Tribolium castaneum: one gene and its partner. The protein of the gene in region 2 purifies or fractionates together with the protein of the main gene of each other region. This does not show direct contact. Links are inferred from orthologs where the notes say so. Each region holds a gene or a part of one and is shown on either strand. Other genes may lie near its edges.

Region 1 (3,541 bases), on a different chromosome or scaffold from region 2:
ACGGCTTTAAAATAGCTCAACTAATCCAAAAACGCAGTGAAAAAAAACACTTTAAAATGAATTAAAAAATCAAAATGCACTCGATCTGTAACGTAAAACAGATACCGCCTGAGACAGAAATAATAAAATTTCTTATCTAAAGCACACAATACACAATTAGAGCAAATAAAGTGGCTTTTCGAATACGATGCACAAATCGGAAAAAATATACTACATATATTGTAGTACTAATGGGTAAAAATAAACAATTCGCAATAAATTTATAACATAATTTTGCAATTATTTCATACAATGATAAGCAACCCGAAAGTAAAATTAGGTCAAAACCAATGTTACATGTAAACACCAATAAACCACTCCGTTAGGTTCTAGAATCAACAGTGATAAAAATAAAGCTACAATTCCCAATTCCCAACCATCAAATTTTTAACTAATAAATGTAACGAAACCATAAATATTGCAATTCGCAGGTCATAAACCGACTTTTCCCATCAATCGTGTAAACAAAACATTTATTGCTTTTTCATGGGAAACAATAAAACAACTCTTTAAAAATAAATTTTTATTTTCCAAATTAGCAATCTCGTTCAGGCAACTCCAGATAAAACCTTATCAAGAAATAATACAGTTAAAATTAAGCAACAATTTATTCCTCAACGTCGATACTCTCAAGTAGCGACACATCTAAAATGCAAAACTTCGCCCTGCACATCGGACACGTGCACTTGGACGACAGCCACGTACTCTGCTGGTCGCTCTCCTGTCTCGAAGCGAACCATTTCGCCATGCAATCAACACACCACATCGGCTTGCAATAGCAAGTCGTACAGCCCTCATTCCCGCCCGCGTTATCCCCACACAGCTTCTGCAACTTGACGCTGGGGCGCGTCTGCATGCACCCAATACATTGGTCCAGCTCCTGAAAGCAAACTTCAGCGAAAATCCAGGCAAAGCCCCCCAACCTCTCTAGTCTCGTAGCGCGCGTTATTTTTAATAGTCTCCTTGAAGACGTCAACGAATTGCTCGGTCACAGATTTATGGAACTTGACGTTGGGCAAAATGGTGATATCTCTCGCTATTCTGTCTTCCAAGTCCTTGAAATCCGAGGCATTAATGCGGATAATAAACGTCTCGACACCGACTCGGGCCGACTTAACTTCGATGTTTAAGTATTGCGTTTCGTTGGTCGTTTGGAGCGAAATCCGGTGCGTGTCAGCTTTCTGGACCACTAAACTGGCGTCGCTTTGATGCGCCAGTGAAATCGTAAAGGGTTTCACTTTCAAAATCCAATTTTCGGTGGCTATCACTTTAATCACCGAGCTCGTTTGGACGCAGATTTTATCAACGCTGCAACGATACAATCAAACGCCTCAAAGGTGATTATAGTCGCAATAATACCGTCTAAATTCGGTGTTGATGTCACCGGCGACACTTTTCCAATCCCTGTTATTATTGTTGCAAAACTTGGCCAAATTGACCGCGATCGGGTGGTGTTTAAAATCGTCGATTATCCAGTTCCTAATCTGATAGAGCGCCAAAATTGGCAACGCCAGACTGGTCGTGAAAAACGCTTTCCAAAAGAGAGAACCGTCGATTATCAAAGAACTAACCTACAAGCCACCCTCGCGATTACGCCCCGGACCAAAGCCAACTCACGTCTTGGAAATACTCCGAGGCAAAGAGGGCGGTGATGTACCCCAAAGGCAACAGTGAATACACCCCCAATGTTACGATTGTGCGCTTTATGTGGTAACTTACGAAGTTTTCGTCCTCGGAGCCCAACACTCGGCTGAAGAGCGCAGGGATGGTGAAGCCGGCAGACACGAACTCGACAGGGGGGTAGATAATACAGAAGCTTAAAATTAGGTAAAATAAGGTGAAAATCACCTCTTCGGACATAATGAACGGACTAAATAAACAACACGCATTTTTTGAGGTTACGGCATTTGGGAACGTCAACGCACAGTGTCGCCACCGGTAGAAACTACTTTTTTGTTAATTTAATTTTTTTTAATTTCTCATTGTTATTTTTTTACCTTTACACTGTTATTATACTAATTCTATTCGCCGCATAACGATTCATAGTCTAGATTTTTTTGGAAACTTTTAGATTGTTTTCTGTTTGTATATAACTTCCTGGTTTTATAAAGACTACTAAAATTGTTTCCTTTGTGATGTACTTCTAGATATTTCTATTACACTTTAAAATTTCGTAAAGGATAATTTTTCAAAATGGTGATAAATTTTACGACAACGGCCTACTCGATTTTTTTTCGAAAAAACCATCAATAATTTTATTTCGCAAAAATCTTACACATTTTACAAATGAGACCCCACAAACCTTATCGACAAAAAGCTCATAAAAGATGCCATGCAATGGGACAATAAAATACAGGGTGTTGTATTTGAAAAAATCGAGTTATTGCAATTAGTAGTTTGTCATTTTCAGAAAATTGTAGTAGGCGTTGGAATATCGACTTCGAGTTCGCTTTTATTTCAAAAGATGGGCTAGAGTTTAGGGAATCGACTGGAAAACAATTGTTAAATTATCTTAAATGGTTCTAAAGTTATAATTTTTTGTGGGTCTTTGCACGTTGTAATTTTCATACATAATATGACATAAGACAAAAACTATGACAGATAAGTCGACAAAACTCGGGTACATTATATCGACACTCTGTATAAAGATTAAAATATTTTTAAGACGTGTCTTATTATAACACGTAGCGTTTAAAAAAGATAAGTTGATAGCTTGCATAGAAAACAGTTATGGAGCATGCATGCACCCACGGGTCACCCTGTATAAATTTCAAATCTTCATCTTTAACGAAGGGTAGTAAATAACTTTAATACTAATAATTCGCTTTATTTTTACAATTAAAGTGGGGTTTTTTATTCATTTTCATTTATTCACTATATACATCATTGTTCTTTCTAGCTTGCTTATTAATTATTTTCATAAACTATTCTTACCTGTTTAGTAAATATTAGGAGTAATTAGATAGTAATATACACATTTTTTTAAACAACCAATATCAATTCGATTTTTTTATTCTTTCTAAAAAAATATTTTTAAAACCATTCTTGATCCAGAAGACTTATTATAGTTATTGCTTCTAGACTTTTTACAATTAAAATTTACATATCTGATTAATTTTTTTATAATAAATAATAATAATAAAAATAATAAAATAATAATAAAGACAGAATTTTGCAAATCTAAAAGTATTTCCAGAAATTCCCTAAATTTGGTACTAAATTCAGTTGCAATTAAGATTGCATGTAAAACAAGAACAAACGGGAACAATCCGGAACAAAAGAGAACAAATCGGAACAATTGGGAACAAAAAAAAAATATTAGGTAATGTAATTATACTTTTAATGAGAGATCTTATTATTAAGACCTATTTTACATTGTTTTTAATGTTATTTAAAAAAAATATTTGGTAAAATTCGACGTTGGCGTTTTTATAGTTTTGAAACAGCTAGTACTTACCTAAATAAAACAATTATTTATTCAATAACGTAAATAAATAAGAAA
Region 2 (3,276 bases):
ACTCGTTTACTGAACGCTTATTCTCACATGCCAATTTTGTTGCTGAATTAGAATCTGAAGTTAGTTTTTGTCGTTATTGTGAAACTTTTTTAAATCCTTAAAATTGGTCAATTTTTGTGTCTACTAGTCAAAAATTCCTTCTGGTTAAAGTTAGAAACTTCTTTTTTGGAAATAAATGCTCAGTGAATAAGTAGTTTTTAAGTTTCAGTTTTGAGAAAAGAAAAATGGGAAAATTAGAACACACTACCAATACAAAGGAAAATACGCGGCAATGCCACTTCAAGCGCATATGGCAGTAACTTTAAATTGCAATAACTTGAGTGTCATAAATAATCATAAAACATATCGAAATGATTCTTGCACCAACAATTTATCTCAGCTGTTAGCTTCGTTTCATGATTATGCATAGGTTTAACTTTTAAGAAAAAAATTCTCATCTCTACTAGACAAATATGTAACGTTACAAGAAAACTGCTATTTTCTCAGTCTTCTTTTGTTGAAACTAAAACTTGTGTGTAATTGTTACAATCCACATCCATTGAGGATTTTTTTTTATAAAAAAATGAAGTTTCTAGCTTTATCCAGAAGGAAGATATAACGATGTAAACACAAAACTTGACCAATTTTAAGTTCTTCAAAAATTTCCAAGGAAACGCCTTTTTCATCATGAAGGCAATTCCAAACAAAAAATCGAAGTTGATTCAAAGTCAGCTGTAAATTTTGCATAAGAATCAGTTTAAAACCCGAAGGGACAAATAAATTATTAATTATTGTGCGCTGCTGATGGACCCTGTTGATCTAGAGTATATAAAATATGTGACGGCAAATGACTTTTGGACACTTATCTTGGAAAGACACCCCTTAAAAAAAAGGATAGCACAGGGACAGGAATATCGCTTTTAGTTCCAAGTGAAGTTACCTATTCTTCTTTTTACAAACTTAATTGGCGCAGACAGTACAAAATGTTTTGTGATTTCATCTTTTGTTTGTAAAAAAAATAATATGAAGACTTCAATATGTTCATCGATGCTCATAGTGCAGTAAGTTTTATTTTCTCGGTCTTTTTTTAACGAAAGGAAATAACAAAAAAACAAATTGTGTATCATGTTCTAAGAGCAAAATTGTGCTTCAAAGGCTAGACCCATGGCGTGTAAGTTTTAATACGTAACGGAAAATACAAAATGATTTTTACAAAACCATTTAACAAGTTTTTCTGTAATCTGCAATTGTACCTATTAATAAATAAGATGTGTTGGATTCTATGTTGCAAACCCCGTGTTGAGGTTTAAAGTAAAATATCTTAGCTCTAAATTAGTCAATTATAGCACAGACATCAAAATTGGGGAACTTTTTTGATCTCAAAAATGCAGATAGTTTCCTGAAGCCAAAAAGGTAAAACTAGGCAACCACCAATCCCTATCACCTTTTTGACATCTACGTCACCCATTTGGAAATTTTGACAATTGACAGCCCCATTGACTGAGTTTGATTTGTCATGTTAGCGAATTTATTGAATATTTAGAACCAGAAAACACGTATCCTTTTCACACTTCTTCGGAATTAATGATTTTTAAAACCTACCACTTGGTGTTATGACTGTGTTACTATAAATACTGGGAGAGTTGCATTACCAAATTTGCTAGTAAGTTAGGTTATGTTTGTTTGATTTCTTTATGTTTTGTTCAATGAAACGTTGTATTTAAGGTCGAAATGTCTGATTTCGGGGACTGGTACCGAAATGTACCGATTTTTACAAGATATTGGTTATCATCAACTGTTGGACTGACGCTGTTGGGACGTTTTGGTATCTTGAAGCCTCACAATTTAGTTTTGTTCCTAGAGCCCCTAAAACGCTTCCAAATATGGAGGCTGGTGACTTCAGCCTTGTATTACCCTCTCAATCCAAGCACCGGCTTTCACTATCTGATCAATTTATATTTTCTTTATAATTACTCAAGGAGGTTGGAAGAGGGTGTTTACGCCGGCAAGCCTGCAGACTATTTCTTCCTCCTTATTTTCAACTGGATTTGTTGCGTCATCGTGGGATTGCTTCTTGAAATGCCCGTAAGTTCTTCAAAACTCTTTTAAGTCGAAATAACCCTTTTTTCCAGTTATTGCTAGACCCCATGATCCTCTCAGTACTATACATTTGGTGTCAGCTTAACAAAGACACGATTGTGAATTTCTGGTTTGGAACCCGCTTCAAGGCAATGTACCTCCCTTGGGTGTTGTTGGCCTTTAACATGGTCATATCAGGGGGTGGTGTCCAAGAACTGATTGGCATTTTAATTGGACACTTGTACTTTTTTCTCATGTTCAAGTACCCACAAGAACTGGGGGGCCCTGCTTTAATACAAACCCCCTCCATTCTAAAGCAATGGTTCCCGGATCAAGTGGGCGGTGTACATGGGTTTGGGGTGCCCCCACAGAGACAACAAAGACCAAATCAAGAGCCCCGCGGCAGGTTTTTCGGGGGGCATAACTGGGGCCGAGGCCATGTCCTTAACGGGAACTAAATCTGTAATTGTGGTTCATTTTATTAAGTATATTTAATTAAAGATTTAATTACTACTACAATTTAAGTGCTTTTGTTTTATTAATGTTTTAATAAAATTCTGGAACGTTTAGTGTTTTTGTCGCATTGGTTGGTAATAGTGTTTATCTAAATGTTTGGTAGATAATGTATAAATTCCAGCAACTGGATATTGATTTTATTTCAACATTTATTTATGAGACAGTTTTATATAAAAAATTTCGTTGCGTGATTAATAGAAATTTTTTTATGATATCGGTGACGTTTTGTTAGGTTGGTATTACCACGCCTTGTCACTTTTGACGTTTCCTCTTTTGAAAGGGGTGAGTTTGTTGTCATTCCTGCGCCGCTTGAGGCGAAATATCAGTGAGATTACAAACCATACAGTGTATTTTCCAAGAATTAACTTGAAGAATTTTAGTATCATGGAGAAAACGAATCAAGAAGTGTTGGACCAAGATCTGCAAGAGGAGGGCCAGTTCGTGGTCGACGATGTGAGTAAGATCATTAAAGACGCGATAGAAACTGTGATAGGAGGCAACGCATATTCCCAAAATAAAGTCAATGACTGGACGACTTCGGTCGTGGAATGTTGCACATCAGAATTGACGAAATTGATGAAACCATACAAGTACATCGTGACCTGTACCATAATGCAGAAGAACGGGGCCGGTTTGCACACCGCTAGTTCGTGCTATTGGGATAATAACACGGATGGGAGCTGCACCGTGCGTTGGGAGAAC

Evidence for each region. Proteins that work in one complex are often made in the same cells at the same time.
Region 1: the proteins of Der-1 (region 2) and E3 ubiquitin-protein ligase TM129 purify together in Homo sapiens (affinity purification with western blotting; 3 studies listed by BioGRID). This does not show direct contact. The link is inferred for Tribolium castaneum from reciprocal best matches to the Homo sapiens genes DERL1 and TMEM129.

What each region holds. Positions count from the first base shown.
Region 1 is NC_087395.1:16,920,336-16,923,876, forward strand, and holds E3 ubiquitin-protein ligase TM129, read right to left. Parts: upstream 2,016-3,541; 5' UTR 1,900-2,015; coding exon 1,657-1,899; intron 1,611-1,656; coding exon 1,399-1,610; intron 1,348-1,398; coding exon 963-1,347; intron 920-962; coding exon 647-919; 3' UTR 548-646; downstream 1-547.
Region 2 is NC_087396.1:17,558,356-17,561,631, reverse strand, and holds Der-1 (derlin-1), read left to right. Parts: upstream 1-1,436; 5' UTR 1,437-1,642; intron 1,643-1,704; 5' UTR 1,705-1,710; coding exon 1,711-2,064; intron 2,065-2,111; coding exon 2,112-2,516; 3' UTR 2,517-2,625; downstream 2,626-3,276. Other genes in the region: Dlc90F (dynein light chain Tctex-type), read left to right, coding at 2,959-3,276. UniProt on the Homo sapiens protein: Functional component of endoplasmic reticulum-associated degradation (ERAD) for misfolded lumenal proteins. Forms homotetramers which encircle a large channel traversing the endoplasmic reticulum (ER) membrane.